Solanum lycopersicum: one gene and its partners. The protein of the gene in region 3 interacts with the protein of the main gene of each other region in a pairwise test. Links are inferred from orthologs where the notes say so. Each region holds a gene or a part of one and is shown on either strand. Other genes may lie near its edges.

What was found.
Region 1: the proteins of anaphase-promoting complex subunit 2 (region 3) and cell division cycle protein 27 homolog B interact in binary tests that used the Arabidopsis thaliana proteins (3 or more experiments, as listed by UniProt). The link is inferred for Solanum lycopersicum from reciprocal best matches to the Arabidopsis thaliana genes APC2 and HBT.
Region 2: the proteins of anaphase-promoting complex subunit 2 (region 3) and anaphase-promoting complex subunit 11 interact in binary tests that used the Arabidopsis thaliana proteins (3 or more experiments, as listed by UniProt). The link is inferred for Solanum lycopersicum from reciprocal best matches to the Arabidopsis thaliana genes APC2 and APC11.

What each region holds. Positions count from the first base shown.
Region 1 is NC_090802.1:28,489,790-28,495,840, forward strand, and holds part of cell division cycle protein 27 homolog B, read left to right. Parts: intron 1-1,836; coding exon 1,837-1,992; intron 1,993-2,609; coding exon 2,610-2,826; intron 2,827-3,786; coding exon 3,787-4,001; intron 4,002-4,094; coding exon 4,095-4,160; intron 4,161-5,028; coding exon 5,029-5,148; intron 5,149-5,563; coding exon 5,564-5,640; intron 5,641-6,051. UniProt on the Arabidopsis thaliana protein: Component of the anaphase promoting complex/cyclosome (APC/C), a cell cycle-regulated E3 ubiquitin-protein ligase complex that controls progression through mitosis and the G1 phase of the cell cycle.
Region 2 is NC_090800.1:86,980,503-86,987,300, forward strand, and holds the start of anaphase-promoting complex subunit 11, read left to right. Parts: upstream 1-2,475; coding exon 2,476-2,522; intron 2,523-2,865; coding exon 2,866-2,871; intron 2,872-3,392; coding exon 3,393-3,511; intron 3,512-5,077; exon of another isoform or gene 5,078-5,417; coding exon of another isoform or gene 5,418-5,442; intron 5,443-5,649; coding exon of another isoform or gene 5,650-5,756; intron 5,757-6,207; coding exon of another isoform or gene 6,208-6,294; exon of another isoform or gene 6,295-6,367; intron 6,368-6,567; coding exon 6,568-6,683; 3' UTR 6,684-6,798. Other genes in the region: agamous-like MADS-box protein AGL80, read right to left, coding at 281-1,030; Pmp3 domain-containing protein, read right to left, coding at 5,418-5,442, 5,650-5,756, 6,208-6,294. UniProt on the Arabidopsis thaliana protein: Component of the anaphase promoting complex/cyclosome (APC/C), a cell cycle-regulated E3 ubiquitin-protein ligase complex that controls progression through mitosis and the G1 phase of the cell cycle.
Region 3 is NC_090804.1:2,483,149-2,489,845, reverse strand, and holds the start of anaphase-promoting complex subunit 2, read right to left. Parts: upstream 4,579-6,697; 5' UTR 4,344-4,578; coding exon 4,110-4,343; intron 3,475-4,109; coding exon 3,385-3,474; intron 2,760-3,384; coding exon 2,528-2,759; intron 2,118-2,527; coding exon 1,822-2,117; intron 1,645-1,821; coding exon 1,573-1,644; intron 1,024-1,572; coding exon 782-1,023; intron 1-781. UniProt on the Arabidopsis thaliana protein: Component of the anaphase promoting complex/cyclosome (APC/C), a cell cycle-regulated E3 ubiquitin-protein ligase complex that controls progression through mitosis and the G1 phase of the cell cycle.

The DNA of each region.
Region 1 (6,051 bases), on a different chromosome or scaffold from region 3:
CGATATGGGAAATAGGAACTCTTTTCTTCTGGTGCTAACTTAAAAAGGGTCATTGGTTGTTACTTGCTATCACTGTATGCATTGCAGTGAAGATGCTTAATTTTTATTATTCTTTAAAGATTACATAACTTTTTCCCCTTGAACTCTAATGATGTAGAATTAGATAGACAATTTATATATATATATATATATATATATGTGTGTGTGTGTGTGTGTGTGTGTGTGTGTGTGTGTGTGTGTGTTAGTGCTCCTTTTTAAAAGGTTAGTGTTAAAGAATGACAAAAGTCCCACATCAATGGTTAATGAGATGAGTAGACTCCTTATAAGGCTTGGACAATCCTCCTCCCTGTGAGCTAATTTTTGGGGTGTGAGTTAGGCTAATTTCACATGGTATCAGAGCAGGGGCCGTCTCACCCGATGTTGGGGTTCCCAAAAATCCAAATTGTCCAGGCACAAGATGCTAAGCACTGGGCGTGAGGTGGGATGTCAAAGAATGACAAAAGTCCACATCAGTGGTTAATGAGATGATTGGGACTCCTTATAAGGCTTGGACAATCCTCCTCCCTCTGAGCTAGCTTTTGGGGGTGTGAGTTAGGCATAAGACCTAATTTCACAGTTGTATTACCGATGTAGCACAAAGGTTGTACCCAAGTACACCACCAAAAGTTCAAAAACCAAGAGAAGTCCGTAATCTTCTATTGCAAGCTATCTATGCGCTGTCATAAGGTTTCTACATCATTTACCAAATCCATCCTAATCCTACTAGAACAAAATATTACAGTCAGATTTGATCTTTAGAGTATTGTTAGCTTGACCAGCAAAAACTCTTCTATTCCTTGCCTTCCATATGCACCACCAAAACATGCTGTAATTGTATTCCATTTAGTTTTCAAAGGCCCAATAAGTCTGAGGTTGATCTTGGCATTACTCAGTTCATGTCCAAATATTGTAAAACATCTACCATATTTGTGTTGCTATTGGACAATGCAAGAATATATGATTGATTATCTCTGTTGTTATTACACATATACCATTTGCTACATAACTGGTATCCCCTTCTCTGCAGATTATCCTGAATGAGACATGCTTCTCTAGATTGTCCTTTGTACCAAGCAATACACCCTTACCATTCTAAAATAAATGGTGACAATGTATTTGTTAGTTAGATCATAGTTTCTTAGATTGAGGAAGAGGGTAGCAATCAGAGAATTTGACTCTAATTTAAAGCAGATTGCAAGTTTTGAAGAGGACAGAAAATATCTAATTTATTGTCAATCCGATGGAGTCTAAAATGTCTTCTCCGGTTTAAAACATAGTTGGTAACTTTCTAATGATATCTGTATAGTTTCACAGAGCTATGTTCTTGTTAATTGAAGTGAAATTAATAGCCTTTTTGGCCTAGCTTCTAAAATGAGTTTATTTTGAGAAGTGCTTTTCTAAAAAGTACTTTTGGTGACAACCAGTTTGTGACTTTGCTTTGTGAGAAGCAGTTTGTGTTTGACCATGTTTTTAACAAGTTCTTCTAAGTGTATTTTCTCAAAAGTGCTTTTCAATACAGCACTTTGGGAGAAAAGCTATCTTTTTAAACTTCTGCTACTCCCTGAAACACTTATTTTCTCCTCATAGCTTGGTTAAACAACTCACTTTTTTAAACATACACACTTTTTTAAAAACAAGAAGAAGCACTTTTGGCCCTTCCAAAAGCTTGGCTAAACAATATGTAAAGGTGACAATCTTCTATATTAAAGAATCAACTGACATTCTTATATGCACTTTGGCAACACTAGAATTTCTTTTTGATTTTTCGAAAGTTTGTAAAATACAATTTCTTTGCAGTTGTCAGGAGTGGTTCCACCTCCAGTTTGTAGAAATTTTCAGCAAAATGGTACTAATGCATCTGTGGCTGGTGCTGATAACTCTCCACGATCAACTGTCAATTCAACCATTCAGGCCCCTCGGAGAAAGTTTGTTGATGAAGGGAAGTTAAGAAAGGTATGCAGTACTATAATACATAGGTTTCAGTCATCTAATTTATTATAATATTAAGTTCTTCTTTCTCTGTATAATCGCTGCAGGATTGTTAGGTTTTTTATAGAAACTTCCCACTGAAGTAATGTCGTACTTCCTCATATTCCATTTTAAGTATGTCTATCAATCAGGATGCCTTTATATGATTCTAAAACAAAGTGAAACAGCTTTTATTCTAAGTTTTTCGTGATAAAAAAAGCTTCACAAAATGATATCATAACAATTTAAGTGTTAGTTTTCTCTTTTGTTGAAATTTGGAAGTGAGCTTTTAGTGTGAAGCTTTTGGTGCAAGCCTGCTGTCCTTACCAATTTTCACCTGTAGAAGCCAGTTGTTAGAGGCTAGGCTCTTATTTTGTCTTATTTGACCTCTTTTAGTTAAAAAACGAGAATGTTTTTACAAACTTTTAGCTTGTTGAACTATGGTATTGATTTTGTTCATCTCCTTTATTTTGTGCATTTGTTCAGTTTTAACTTTCAATCTCTAAACTTCCCTATACATTTCTGGTGCTTTATATGGTGGATTTTCGTTGTCTCCATTACCCCTTTTTTGGGTCTGAGTCCACTATCTCTTATCTTTCCAGATATCTGGGAGGTTATTTTCTGATTCTGGCCCTCGACGAAATTCAAGGCTTTCGGGAGAATCTACTGGAAACACAAATTCAAATGTATCTGCAGCTTCTGGAAATGGAACCATTCATTCTTCCAAATATTATGGTAGTTCGAAGCTGAGCTCAATGACTTTACGTTCCATGACAAGTCGAAAGACACAATCTTGGGCTGCCGAAAATTATGGTGAAGGTGATTGATATTTTGTCTTTTCTCTTGATAATTCTGTTGTTCATTGTATTTTTAACCTAAGCGTTGTCACCTTTTTAGAATAGACTAATCATAAAAATTTTATGTGAATCCTAAGGTTTGGTCACACAATTGCTTGAAATGAAGTATAATTACAAAGAAGTGTTGACTTTTGACTGTACCCAGTCAACATTAATGCGTGAAACAAAACGGAGTGTCAGGCAACTTTTTTCTTCCTCCCCCCCCCCCCCCCCCCTATGCAGAAGTCATAGTACACTTGAACAGCAGTTGGGTGGTGATATGCTGACATCCAGGCCTGCATGGAGCTAAATTTGTATATTAGTCTGCTACAGAAAAAGAAGTCGGGTGTGATTTTCTCTGGAAACTTTCTATCATCTAATAAGGACATATCATCTGAAGATATTTTTACTAAACATAAGGGAGGCACGAAACTCCGCCTGTCCTCCAAATGGATTGCTTTTGTGTTATATGTGTTATTTCTGAAATCTAACAAAATTTTGTTCTTGTTATATTGGAGTCACTTTCATGATCCCCTAAATTCGAATAGACTTGTGCACACTTTTCTTATTTAGTGGTTCCGTCACAAACTTTAGGAAGGAGTTTTTCTCCCTCTATTTTTTTGACTTTTTTCTTACCTCTTTTATTATTCGTCAAAGTTGAAACTTTACTTCTGTAGTTCCCGAGTTCTGGTTAACTACTATTTGGATGTGTGGGATCACAATTGATTAATGCATTAATCATTTGAAAGAATTCAAGAGTACAGATAAATTGTTTTTTTCATCTGAAATTACTGCTATCAACCAATGGAAAAATGAAGAAAGCTGAACACCAACAGCTATGTTCATATGGAATTTCTTGTGTTTGTGCACTGTTGCTACCTAAGAAAAACATCTACCTTTGAGATGTGTTTTTATTCGTAACTGTGTTAGGTCTGCATCTCAGGGACTCGCAATGACATTTCTGATGATTCTCGGCTAAATATGACTCTGTCACACCCTTCTGGTGATGCTAGACCTCTTGAACAAGAAGGGCCCGGAACTTCTGCTTCTGGGGTTAATGTAAGCAGCACATCTATCCTCTCAGGTGCTTCAGATATATTGTCCCTTTTCAGGATTCTTGGGGAAGGCTATAGACTTTCTTGTTTATATAGATGTCAGGTATTACATTTTGATTCTGAATGGATAAATTTCAGCATTTATTTGATGCTCTACATTGATTTGGTTGAAATATGATGCTTTACGGTGGAACAGGATGCACTGGATGTTTATAACAAACTACCACACAAACATTATCACACTGGATGGGTTCTTTCTCAGGTAAAGGTTCTGTCTTTCTTGATCACTTTTTCTCCAATCCTTTTGGAGGCAATGTATGTATTTTTATATTTCCTCCGTTCAAAGTCCTGTTAATTTTAAGTTTTCTCTTTATGCTTGTTTAGGGAATCAAAGGAGATATTCATTCTTGTCCTTTACTGTTTATTTGCTCGTCTCTAATTGAAATTGCTTCCAGTATGTAGGTTCCTAAAAACTTAGCGGGACATGCTCATTTCTTTTTTGGGGTTAATTTCTAACTTGATCTTCATGATGTATAAGTTCCATGTTTAGACTAGTTACATAGTTATGGATACGTACTAGAAATATCGATTAGATAGCTTTGTTCGAGTGCACTACAAGAATATTAAGTGGCCTGGAATAGATATGCATGTCTTCTTTATATTCATTGAATGTCAGAGAGCACTATTTTCTAAGAGTGGTCTTCTAGGATCTTGATTCTGCCGTGTTAGGTGCTGAAGTAAGTCCTCTGAATAGGACAATGAACTTTCATTTGGACAGTCTAGAGTATTGATCATGATTCAAGGCACTGCATTGCATGGTCCGGAGAATATCTACTTTTGCTAGTATAATTTTTAGGACCATTTTGTACTATGTTTGACGGTCTTTAGCCCTTTCTACTTGTGGTGGGGCATGGGCTTCTTTCTTTTTACATATCCCTTGACTTAACCGGCTCTTGAGTTCTCTTGGTATCTCTTGGCCTAACTTGCTCTTTAGTTTTCTTGGTATCTGTTGCTTATCAAATATAAAAAGGTTCTCTTGGTATTTGTCTATTGTGGCATGTCATGACCAAATTAGAATGCCAGATTTATCTGTCTACATGTGGCATCTGATGTGCATATTTGAATGCCAGATTGGAAGGGCATACTTCGAAATGGTTGATTACCAAGAAGCAGATCATGCATTTGGCCTTGCTCGTCTGGCCTCACCTTATAGTTTAGAAGGAATGGACTTGTACTCGACAGTGTTGTTTGTGAGTCTTCTTTGCTCTTTAAGTGGTTCAATCAGAACATGTATGCTTTGCTGTGAGGAAATATTAATTGCCTTTAATTTTACCATCTCTTAGGGTGGTGGGGTGGTGATGCCGGACGGGTTTGATGAAACTTTATTTGATCCCTGTTACGTCGACATTACTATTATTTGCTTACATTCTATGATCATTATTACTATTATTTAATAACAATATTTTTTTTTGTTCCGGTATTTTTGTTGCATCCGGTTATTGTTCACTAATTAAAATTATTTCTTGAAAGCATATTTTTCTTAACCTTTGGTAGTTAGGAAACTGGTTATATATGGTTATCCTAATAGTTCTTATGTTCCAAAAGGGTCCCAATCTTTATGTCCTCTCTGTCTTTTCCTGACAAACTATTTGATTTTAATTTTAGCATCTCAAGGAGGACATGAAGTTGAGTTATCTGGCGCAGGAGCTGGTATCAACTGATAGATTAGTTCCTCAATCTTGGTAATTCCTGCAAAATCCGAAGATAATATTGTCTGATATAGATATTTCTGGAGCTGTTTATTTCTTTTGTCCAGATATGTGTGGATATTTGGGCTTATTTGTAACATCTTATCAAGTATTAATTTATTTACTCATGAATGGCTGAGTATCATTGATCATTCCTTCGCCATGTTTGCTGTTTTTGACCCTTGATCAAGTTGTTAACAATGTGACTCCTTATGTTTCTGATTATTCTTAACCTGCTAGACGCATTATGTTGATTTAACAATTGGACTTACATCTTCTGTCTGAAAATTCTGACTTCTGTGTTTGCACTCAATGTGTAGATAAATATTCGAGAAGTTTTACCCAATGGCTTGACTTGTTCCTTTAAAAAATAAGATTTATGTAAGGATTGTTAAAAACTGCTAT
Region 2 (6,798 bases), on a different chromosome or scaffold from region 3:
GTATAACCCAGTCGAGAATATTAATTTAATTTACACATATAAGAATAACATAACGCGAATATATTAAACTGTCAAAACACACTTTTATTTATTTATATGGTAAATAAAAATCTATACGAAACACCAGAAAAAACCAAAAAGAAGAAAAGAAATTGACCCACCATAAATTAAGAAAAAACCATGTAATAATTCATATCCACCGTGGGAGATTGAGAAAATAAACAAATTAAAAATGACATAGGTAAAAATCCAGAAAAGAAATAGGAAGCAGAAAATAAAATTAAGGATAGAAATTATTAGGCCACACATTAGCATTATGATTATCATTAAAATTGGGCAAAATCATCTCATCTGCATGTCCATAACCAATATGCTGATCACTTGCGTTGCTGTTCATCCAATCAGTAAACCACTCTGTTTGTGTCCTCTGCATCGAATCCAATCCCAATTCCACCACAGCAGGCTTTTGCTCCATCGGTGGAGCAACTGCCTGCGATGCTACTGCTGCCGCAGCAACTGCAGCAGCAGCAACAGAAGAAGAAGAGGAAGTCGAAGCCCCCTTTTTAACTGCCTCAATCCTCTTATAAACCTCTTTCAAATTCTGATCAATTACCCATCCAAGGTCATTCAAATCTCCCAAATTCAAATTCTGAAGCCCTTTTCCAGTCAACCCTTGATACATAACTTCGGTCATTTCCTTTTCTCTGTTTTCCTTGCTCTGTTTCTTCAATTGCTCGCTCGCTTTAGCTATCCTCTGCCTTATGAAACTCTCTTGATTCACCATTTTCTTGCTCTGTTCCATCTCAGGCATCCTTTTAAACTCGGCGAGCACGCGTTGAGCTCCCATGGTGTTTGGCCATACTTCTGGTGAAGTGTCATAAGGGCTATAAATAATAGCACAAGCATCAATCCCACAAAGGGTGCTCAATTCACTCACCTTCTTCATCAGACCCTTCTTCCTTTTCTTGAATGTTGCTTTTCTTGCCGAGTCATTAGTGATGAAGGCTAATTTCACTTTCTTTCTTGTCATTTTTTTGGGATGCAAAGCAACAAATATGCAAACAAGATGAAAAAATAGGGTAGATGTACAGTTCTGTGTTCTTTAGTTTCTTGGAATGGGCATGTTATATACAAATATGAAGATGTTTCACTAATTAATATGGAAGATTTTGTATTTATTTGCATATCTGGAAGATGAATTGATGATCAAACATATTTGGAAAAAAATTTAGTGCCCAAATATTTTCAATTTTGATTGTCAATACAATTTTTTGGTTCCACCTGACCAGGGGTCCAGTTATAATATCTCAATTAAAAATTTACATGATATATTGTTATAGACGTGTTTATTAATTTTTTTTTAGAAAAATAATAATAATTACTAATTTTCCTGCAACCCTATCTGATATAGAAACATAAAAGATGAATAAAATAAGATTGTTAATAACATTTTTCAATGGAATTGTAGTTTAAAAGTTGTATCTAAAATCACCTCTTATAATTTAGTTGTTATTTATTTCATAAGAAAAAATCATTAGTTGAAATTTGTCACGACTTTTTCGTAGACTTAAATTCTATTTAATAAAAATATAGTGTGATATGTTCAATTTTCACATATCTTAATTCTTACGGACCATATGATGCATGTAAACATTTAAATGAATGAGTTTTATAAAAGGTTACTATGGTAAGCTTTAAAATCAAATTGTAACGGTCATCCTACGAGATCTCATGTAGTCATTCGGTACATCATACATGGACAAAAGTGAATTTGGAAATAATAGATAAATCATAAATTCCAAACACTAATTTCTTTTCTTATTCGAGGTCATAATTTTTATAGACAAATAGTAAGTTATAATCAAATGTATAGACTATAGACTAACAAAAGATATATACAGTGTGATGAAATTTAAATAATATCCCCTCCAATTTATATATAACTTTCACTTTTTTAAAATTATATTCATTAAACTATTTACATTTTCACTTGTCATATGTATTTCTCTCTATGCAACTGTTACTTAAATATTTTCTTTTATCAATGCTTTGTATTACAATAGTCAAATTAGTAGAATAAATTATGTTTCTAATCAAATTTCATTATATGTAGTAATATGATGTATTTCTCTCTTTGCAACTGTTAGTTTAATTTTTTCTTTTATCAATGATATGAATTACAATAGTCAAATTAGTAAGATAAATAATACTATCTAATCAAATACCATTTTATGTGGTAATTAGGGGTAGTTACAATCAATTTAACAAAAACAACTTAAAATGGCGATACACATACAATAGGACAAAACTATATGAGGTTTCAAACACTAATTTTGAACAAGTTCAATTGCCTGAAATAAACCTCGTAAAATAAAGGTAGCGAATTGACTGTTGCTATTATATTTCAAATAATCTTAGCATAACTTGTTCTCGAATCAAACAAGCCCAAAATCATTAACGGCCCGTGATAACGATATGGGCTGGTTCAGTCTGGGCCTTAAGCCTAAGCCTGTTGCCCGCTGGTTTGGACTTTGGATCGTACCATATTTTTTCACTAGTTTTTCCGCCATTTTCAGAGTTGGTTTAAAACCCTAGACGAAGAAATGTCAGTTCAAAATTTCAAAATCTTTCTGAAACAGTAGATCAACGCACCAATTTTGTCGTGGAAAAAGGTTAATTTCTCTGTTATCGTAGTATTCATTTTTATTTTTTTTGTGTGAAGAGTGTTTTTAATTATCATTTCTCATATAATTTAAGAATTTCCGTTTTTGTGGTGTTGACATTGCAGAGAAAAAGCCAATGAAAGTCAAGATTTTGCGTATCCTTTTGTTAATTATGTCACTGATTTGAAATGTTTAAATGAAGGATACGGTATGTATGTTGGTTGAGCAGTTAATTAGTGCAGTGAATTATAGCAACTGTTACTAAATCATTTCTGATATGAAAGATTATTTTCTGTCTAAATATGTAATTAGTGATTGGATATGGCTCATCTTGTGATCTTAGGATTTTAATATCATTGATTTCTGAATTTTGTTGGAGAATGTAGAGCCATTAAACTCCCCCAAATCAACTTTAGTTTGTGTTTCATCGATTGTTTCACTAAGGTACAGAAGTGCATATTCTGACTTTCTTAAGTAAATGGAGGGTAAGCCTAATGTTGCAAGTTTGTTAGTTTCTTTGACTGAAGGATATGTTGGCATGTTTCCTTGAGAATTGGCTGTATCAGTATATCATGAAGTTTCCCTTAACTTGATCTATTGGGTGTTTTGCTGGGATTGTGAATAGAGTATGTCCTCTTGATTGCATTTGGTATTTTTATTGTTGTCGGACTTAAGACTACATGGCATGGTTACTTCATCTTACTTTTGTTACTTCCTCGTGCATTGCAGATGGCATGCGGTTTCTTCATGGACATGGGATGCTCAGGATGAAACTTGTGGTATATGTCGGATGGCTTTTGATGGTTGCTGTCCTGATTGCAAACTCCCTGGTGATGATTGTCCACTAAGTAAGCCTGTTTATCTCTCCCTAATAGTTTTCTCAGGCATATAAGATATGGATCATCAATCACATGTAATCTTGCTAAGAGAAAAAAGAAAATGTGATTGTGCATTCATCACTTCTTTGACAAAACGTGAAAATTCCACCTGCATTAGTTTTCAAGGTTTACATGTTTCTACATTGATGTTACTCATGAACACAAGGAGAGCTATAAACTGTTGCTTGACAATATTTGCAGTCCTTCATAGTTGGTTTAATTTGTTTGATTTGGTGTGAGACTGGAGAATGATATAAAAGGTACAATATCTTAATGGATGGCAGGTGTGTTAATGAAAACTGCATCTAACATGCTGACAGTTATAAGAGTATACTTTGTCCTAGTAACATTGTTAGTTGCTGTAGAGAACTTTTCAATTGAAACTTGTGATACATCTGGAGGCTGGAGCTGTCCAATTATCCTCCATTACAAAAGAGACTTTCTCAAGACAACTTCTCCCTCTTTTGAATTTGTGGTTAACATAACTGAACCTTCTAAAATATAGGTTTAGAAAGATACTTTGAAGGTAATTGTCAATATAGGGTGTGTTATAACAGCTAACTGAGTATATTAATCAAATATTTTCACCATAAGCTGTCAACTAAAAGATACTACAAACACTTGTCACGGATGTTGTATTCTTTCAGAATCAGTATTAACATATTATGCATCTTCTTGATGCTATTAATTTAACTCTTACTTTGTCAAGAAATCCAAACATATTATGTGTCTCTGTGTTACAGAGCATTTCAGCGGCTTGACTATATCTTGCTGTGACTAGTTCATATTACTGGCTCAATTTTTTATATAGATTGGTAAGTATCCATTTGATTTTCCCTTGTGGTTAGAAGTTTGTGGTATTGAATCTATTTGTATCATGCGTCTTCCCATGAAGACTAATGTCTATCTACTCTGATGGAAGCTTGAATAATCACAGTGTATTAACATCAACCAACAACAACCTTTATGCACAATTATGCATGTTAGAAGAGATCAAAGTTGGGTTTCGGGACAAGGATAGTCTTTAAGTGCTGGTGTTGACTTGTATAAGTTCCCGTAAAGCAGGAGTTTTCAAAAATCACAACTTCTCAATAGTTTCCACAAAAAAGTTCTTATTCTCTCCTTGTTTGGATATGTAATTTCCATGAAGTTGGATAAGAAAAAGAAAAAGTAAGAATATATTATTGTGCTTATTCATGGAATAAAAGTATAAAACTACTTCCTCTGTTAGTTTTTTTAATCCTGCTTGCAAGACGACCAATCCTAATGGCCTAAGTTTATGGAAGAGAAGAGATGGGGATCCAGGGCTAGACTTTATTTCTTTGTAAGTTCAGTGGTGAAGACGTCTGGTTTTTCTCCAAATAGATTTTAGTTATGACCTTTTGACCACCCAGTGAGACTGGAAAGGATATACTATGGTGGACTTACTTATAGGGTTAATAAAAGAAAACAAATGTTCAACTAGGTTTTACTTGAGACCTTTTGGCCTTAAAGTTATTTGGCAAAGCTACAGTATTGGAACAGAGCTTCTTATAGGGTAAATAACGAGAAGACGGAAAACTCAACGAAGTGTAATTTGTGACCTCTTGGCCATAGTTTTCCTTCCAAACATTAACTACAATATGGCATTTCCATTCCAACACAAGTTGTTCACAGTAGATTTAATAAAGTAAAAGAAGGATAGAGAAGTGATATATGTAACAAGAATCCTAGACACTAGTCTGTATACACAAGAACAAGCAGAAGTTCTGTCTTGAAGTAATCTCCTCTCTATAGGCAATTTCTTGAAGAGCATAGACACTTTATTCTTTCTGTATCTGGACTGCTTCTCAATGAGCCAATATTTATCAGCATGAAACTTGAAGGGGTATTATCTCTAAATGGGGCCTTTATACGCCCACCTGTCAAGTAAAGTAGAAAAATGAATTAGATACTCTTCATAAATAGTAGAGTATATTGTTTGAACTCTAGAATATCTTTTAAGCAAATTGAGAGAATCTTCAAGCTGTTAGATCTGAGTTGAATGCTCCTCTAAACTAAAATGACAGAAGTATCTTTTACCCCTTTTCTATTTGGCAGTAGAAAGGATGAAATTTAAGAACAATTACCATAGGAAAGGAAGACCATTTGGTGAGGACTGGAGGGCCCAAAAAGCATAAAGAATACCAGGTATCCACCCAAGGAGAGTCAGCAAAATACAGATGAAGAATTCAACCTGTTTCCAGCACAGAAAAGAAAATTTTCAGAGAGTCAAGAGACCATGTGAAATCTGCACCATCTTTATACAAAAATTCCAATTTTTTAGAAGAAAAAGTAATTTTTTTACTGTCATTTGCATTGTAAACTCACAAATCCTTAGCCCTGGCCAGTGGCCACCCTTGAACCCCAAAAAGGAGAAAAAAGAGGAGGAAAAGGTAGTACCTCTCTAAGCCTCTAGAAGGCTGGTGCTATAAAAGAGCAGATGCCATGTTTTTACAGGCAATATTCAAGTTTTCGCCTGCAGTAGTTATAAGTTAATTGGAAGGAAGCCTTTTATTTAGTTGGTTTATGCATTTAAAGTAATCGAACTAGTGAATTTGGTTACTGAATGTCCAAAGCAGAAAATAAAAATAAAAATTACTGTAATATGAAATCAAGAAGAGAAAGTCGGGAGAAGGGAGTAGTACCTTACAACCGAACTTGCGGTAAGCAACAAGGGGAGGCAAGATAATTGCCAATAGAATGTCTAGGCATGTCATTTTGCTGTCTTCCATTTTCCCCTCTTCTTCTTCTCTTCTGTTCCTTAACAACTTCTGATAAAATGCTAATCAAACTCTAGATTTAGGAATGTCGATGGATTTTGAAAATGAGGAGGAAGTGGTTGCCCTATATATATATACATAAAAGGAGAACAGTGACATTTGATTTTTTGATATATTGAATGGGTTCATAAATTTTTTGTGGATAGTATTGACATGACTTTTGTGGTATCTGGCCCCCTTTCGCTTATAATGCTTTGACAATTATTTGTCTTTGACTCTTTGCAGTATGGGGTGCTTGCAACCATGCATTTCATCTTCATTGTATTTTGAAGTGGGTGAATTCTCAATCTGCTCAAGCACATTGTCCCATGTGTCGTCGTGAATGGCAGTTCAAAGAATGAACAAAGGTTCCGTGCATCTTTTGCTCATGAATGTGGCAGTAGGAACGGAATGATGTGTCTTGTGTGTGATACAATGATATTCTAGCGATAATTGCTGAGCTGATATGTGCTCATC
Region 3 (6,697 bases):
GTCAACTTGCAAGCTGAAAATTTAAGATCTTATATAAATAAAAAGTTACAATGTCGGCAATTGATAAGTGAAGAAAACATAAGCTTCATTCCCTTCATTTCCAACTGAATTGATACTAAAATGCCTAATTAGTACAGATAAAACTAGGAGAATGTTGCATCAAGTTTTATTTCTACAATGAAACAAAATGGATCCCAGCATAGTAAATTAGTTACAGGTAAGACTGGAAGAAACATGGGTAAAAGTAAAGATCAGGAGTTGTGAATACCATTACATCCTCTATGCATGTTATATCCACTTAAAAAATTAGTGACCTAATTAACTAAGTAAGAAGTGTTGCAGTTTGAATGGAAGGGAAAGGAGAGAAATGAGATGAGAACATGGGTGAGTTTAGTTCTTAGCTTCTGAGATTGAATTTTGGGAGAAAAGGGAAGCGATAAAGGTATGCAGAAAGTTCTAAAATTTCAATTCCATCCATAAGTGGGCGGAAACAGAGGGGAAACCCTTTCTAATGCCAAAAAAGATGCTAAATGTATTAACAAGAGAAATACTTTGTTAAGGGTATCAAAGTCAAATGATATCTCTTCCCTTCTCAACCAACCACCGAATTTACTCCTCTTCTCTTTTACAAAGTCTTCATTCTTTCTTTTCATTTCTTTCCTTCCAAATATATATGAGTTTTCTTGCTTATAAATCTGCTACAATATACACCCATGCGCTGAGACTGAACCCCCCACAAACAGAGAAGAAATGAGGAGAAGAAAATGGAATAGTAAATTACCTGTCCGGATAGTCCACAATGATTTCAAAAAGTTTGGCTATTCTGAGATCCTGCAAGGTTTCATAAGCATAATACTCTAAGCGCAACTGCCATCTAACAAGCCCCTCAGATGGAATTCCAGTTCCAGAATAGCACGAGGGGTGGGATGCCAGGGGAGATTTCAGGCCAGGGGAAGGGTCATTGCAGTTAGTAAAATCTCCAAGGTAATCAAGAAGTGCTCGTAAGAACTGAAGGGGCACAGCCTGCACAAATTGGTTCTCAATGTTAGTAAATTGGATCCAACAGAAATTTCCTGACAAGTCAGATTGGTCTAAACATAAGCTTATCCATGTTCTTCAAGTTTGAACAAAACTTCATGTAGAATTGATATTCAAGATAATATAGTCAACCTTTCACAAAGTTATTCTGTCATTTGTTTTGTCATCTATACAATGCCTCCCAAGCTATCGACACACAAATCACATGAGTGAAAGTATCACTATCAATAAATTGGTTAAACACATAATAAAACCATTAGATACATCTGACTCAAAAATGTCTGACTTGTCATATTGCAGGATATCAATGGAATCCAAACTAGTGCACTAGGCAAGGAAAAAATATTTCTTATTTCAGGATGCCAGTCACTTAATATCCCAAATGAATCAAATGACCACCACTATCTCTTCTATTAGTGCTGAAGAAGATAAATTTCAAAAGACCTTGCATTGCTACTCCAAAATAGAACTTTGAAAGGGCCTTTGTCACTGTATTTTGAGACATGAGATTGGGATCATGCAGATGAGACTAACCTGTATCCATGCTTTAATGGACTCCAAAACAGAGCTCCTATAGTCATCACCAGCCAAATCATGTACTTTGTCCTATCACCCACATTCAAAAGAATAATCGTGATCAAGATTAAGTGAATGTTTAATTTATATAGTTTGAAACGATTTCATTTTGTCAAATTAACAAAAATCAGAAACACCACAATTTGATTGATGTCAACTGAAAATGTAGATAAATCAACTGAAACTTTATCATTGTACGCCATGTACCTTTAAAAGAAAAAATATAGCAGAAGCATATGCATCTTCCGCCATAGATGTAAAACCAATATTTCTCAGATTACGAACAACCATTCCGATGTTCTTCACCAACTTATTGTTCTCTGAAAATACAGCATATTTATGGCTTATATCACTATCCATGTCACCACATTTGTAGGGAAGTTTGCTTTTCTCGTCTAAATCCATTTTATCATCCATGCCTAACTCCTCTTCATCCTCAGAGTTCGCAGCTGCAATTGTACTCAGCTCCTCCAGTCTTCCTTTGAAGTACCAGTGAAGTATCCCTAAAATAGTAAGGGGAAGGATAATCAAGAATTTAAAAATTTAAACTTTATAGGACATAGCCATAGAAGCATCTTTTGATATCAAGCTCCCCTTACCACTCTGTCTATTCTGAAAAATTGACGACAATGTAAATGTATAAGAATTTCAAACCTCTTCCTTGCCATTTTATATGTGTGTATTGTAAAGACGTATAACCTAACTTATAAATTCAGAAACCAAAGCCGTAAACCAGTGACTAAAGAAGTATAATTCCTATGTTGTAGTAACAACCCCAGGCAATGGTATTTAACATTTGAGTGATTGGCTACATGATTGGTCCAAGAACAAACTATCTTAGGACTGTAACTTCAAATAGGACAAAAACAAACAATCTAGGATCAATCATGTAGTGAGGAAGTAATCCACATACCAGGAAAATGGTGAGGAAGGCTAGCCAATAGAACTGAAGACACAATTAGTTGATATTTCGAGAGGAGATAAACTCGAGTAGAATCTGGGTTCGCTTGTCCTTGCAATTTGTCTTCTTCATAGGACTGTAAAGCACGAGCCAACAATAATAGGCACTTCTCCTGGAACTGCTTTTGAGATGATATTTCTTCCAAAGCTTTACATATTATTTGCTGAATTTCTTCTTCTAGAATCTGCATCAATACCAATCAGGATTTACTTATAAAATTTCCAAGCCCTAAAACCAAGTCATCGCTTGAGAAAGATAAATACGGCAAATGGAATCAGCAGCAATAACAAGTACATAACCATCCATATTCACTAGCTAGACAAGATAATATTGACAAACATTTTTCCATATAAATTACTTCCCAAAAATAATAAATGTAGTTGCCGTGTAAGGAAGCTAAGATTCAAAATATAAGCCAATTGCGACAGTGTTCAATAAATTTGTAGCAATGAAAGAAAGAAGTAAAGACCAAGAAACTATGGTAATCATAAAATATAATAACTAAATCCATTAAAAAGTTTAATCACTTACTTAAAAAGATGTAAATGGGTTGTTAGGTCATGTAATGTACAGATACTCTATCAAAGTAAGACTGGATTGGAACAGAAGTGTAGAACTTTACACGAAGGTACAAAAATCCAAAAAAAATTACAACAAATATAGAGAATTCTCATTAACAATAATCCTGCATCTGCACAGACACAGAAAGTTCCCAGTGAAAATCAAGTAGTAATCTATTTTTTCTAATTCCGTAGAATAGGTCTTCTCTTTAATGTAGAATGACATGACAAAGGATTCTATGTACGTACAAGATCCTTATTAGTTTCAGATGGTGCAGCATTTCTGTAAGGTTCAAAATAACTCCAGAACCTTTTTGCTCCATTTCTCTCAAAAATTTCCTGTTTGAACACAACACTGTCACCGTGAGTTCAAAAAGAACACCTAGTAGAGTCATAATGGCCATACCGGCTTTAAAATATGTAAAACTAGGTTAAATCACAAATTTAGGAAATGATGAATCAGTATGCATGGTGTGGCTGAAAATGTTTTCACATATAATATTTTTGTTGATGAAATCATTGGCAAATATTTCGAATATTGACCTTGGAGGAAAACATTTTCAAATTCAAGGTATTCAAACATTGAGATGATTTCATCAACCAAAATATTCACTGTGACAACACATTTCCAATTTAAATCCCTTGAATAGTTAAAATTGTCTTCTCCAAAATCAAAAATTTATGATAAGAGAAGAAAACTAATTCAGTTACTTAAGCGCGAAACTCATTTTCCATTTTTCTACTTATATCCAATATTATACCTTGAATAATTACCATATATCACCTACTATTATACTCAACCAAATGCAGGAAACAATGATCCAGGTCACAATTTTCCTCCAAAAAGGAACAATCTTTACTTGTATTTAGCGAAATTGAGTAGCTATGACGTTTTAGTATATTAATCTGCTTTCGGTAGATGAACATTTTATTGAAAACAAAATAACACTATGATGTAAAAATATTGAGCAGACCTCAATGCAACGAAGGAAGTGTTGTTCAACTAGAGATGAAAGGCCATGTTTGCAGAGATTCTTCGCTCGCATTACAAACTCATCGCTGAATGACAAATCACCACTGCCTTTGAGAAGAGCTTCTGAAGAAGAGCAAAAGCCATTCCAGTTTTCCGATATCACTGTTATGGAATCATCACTCAACGACTCCAATTTCTCCAAACCGCATCCCGATGAAGACGTATCGCACGTCATTTGTGAAGCTCTTACAAAGTTTGCTACTGATGATTTAGAAATCTACTTTTCCGGCGGAGAAAAAACCCTAATTGATTAAAAATCATGCATATAAAGATTTGTAATTGAGTTAGACCCGACAAAAGGAGACTTAGAGAGAGAGGAAAAAGTGAGGCTTTGGGTTCAAGTAAATTGTGCTCTGCTGCTTCAATGGTGTGAAGAAGAATCCAGCTCCTGCATTTGCCGCCATTTTCATGTTTGACTGCACTGTGACTAAGCCCATGTTCATACCCGACCCGACCCGAATTCTAATAGTCACAACATTCCAATAACTTTTTGAGAAGAACTTCAAAACAAATATAGTCTGTGGCTAGGTACGGAATCGTCTTTGTTAGAAAGTGTTTTAGCCTTCATTTTATAGCGCCTCGGAAAATACAAAATGATCGAGGATTGAAGAGCCCCATTCCACATCGCCTAGGGAATGCAAATTTGATCGGGACATGGAGAGGAGAGGCTTAGCATCAACGAGAGACATTCGACGCGAAACTAAATTTAACATAAAAACGCAAATTTAATCAAGGATCGGAGAGGAGGGACTTTGTTAGGGTAGCATGGGAATGCAAATTTGATTGAGGATTGGAGAGGAGGGGCTATGTTAGGGAGCGATTTAGTGTTAATATGAGATTTTCCGGCGCAAATTTAGATTTAGTCGCGCTCATATGAGTATATATCAGACACCGAGTGAAAACAAAATAAACAGTTTAGTTTGTGGCTTAACTATCATATAGATTGTCTAGTTACGACTCATAAAGTTGTGTTTGTTTGTTTGAAGGTGTGTTTGTTTATTGTAATTGTTCGCTTTGTATTATTCTCTTCACAATTACAAATTTAGTTGTGACAAAAATTGACAATTAATATAGTTTTCGCTCTCAATTTTAGATTTAATTGTGACAAAAATGAACAGTTATGTTGTTTCCACAATTTATTGCATAAACACTAAAAAAGATTTCAAACAATTATGTCTTAAACAAATATGGTAAGTGTGGAGATTTGTTTGGCATTTCTATTCTTGAAAACCAAATTGTTAAGAACCAAAGATTGATTAACCAAAAGTCGATAATAAACATCTTATTGGTTTGATTATCAATTTAACATGATCACAAAAACCAACAAATTGAAAATATTTAAAGATCAAATATCAAATCGGATCAAATTTTATGACCAAATAGATATTTGAAAATAAAATCTATAATCAAACGTTAACGAAGAAGGTAACAATTCAAGGAAGACATTTGGTGGAAAAGTTTGTAATTTCTGAATGCACTGCATAAACAAAAGCCATGTTCAAACATGAAAAAGGAGACCATCAAAGCACAAGGATACAACAGGAATGTTACTAATATTACTGTTCCATAAAAAAGAATGGAAGTACTCAAAATGAAAATATTTTGATCCTATCCTATTAATTTCTATACTTCAGAATGTGAAACAGTTAGCTTCAGACATAGAAAACAACTCCCTTCATGGACAACCGTCCTCGACAACAACAACTAGTCTAGCTGATCCGGTTTGAGAAGATGGTTCATCTGTTCTTGTTCCGGGGTGAACAGAGTATAGAAGCTTTATATGTTTCTTGGTGAGTCAAAAAACCTGGCTGCTCATCCTTTACAATCTTTAGAACAATAACTCAGTATCTGCTATTGCACTCACCTTTGTATCCAATCCGGACAACTTATGCATATTGACACTTTAACAGCACCAACCAAATCAAGAGGTCATGAGGCATTAAATATGGTAGGTACTTGCCGATCTTTGAACAGCGCGACACAAACAGCTGATAGAGTAAGTGGAAATCATCCCATCTGCTATGAATTATACCTATGCTCTACAATCTTGAGTCTTGGATGTGTTAAAGCTGCAAGAAACTATGCTTTAGAATTACCTGATCGGAAAAGGTACCTTTTTACAACGAAGTTATCATATAAATCAACATGAAAAATAAAACATTCAAACAAGATTGTATTAATACGAACCTGGAAATATTTACAGAACTTTGGAAAAGAATATCCTAGACAACCACTGAAAATGGTATAAACAACAATGATGCATCTCTACTTGTTTGGGAATAATAAATATCCTTAGTTTGCTGCTTAACCTCAAAAATGCTTCGAAAAGAAAAATACAAGAAAGGCATTCCATTCCACCTAGCAAATAACTTTTTTAAAAAATAAAAAAAGTGTAAAGACGGAGATGATACAGAGAAATACAGTAATCAGCCTTGGGACATAGGCATTCCAAAGTGCCATCATATTCTCAATCATTATAAGCCAACAGGATGGTTGTTGAAATACTTATACTTCATATTATCTATTAAG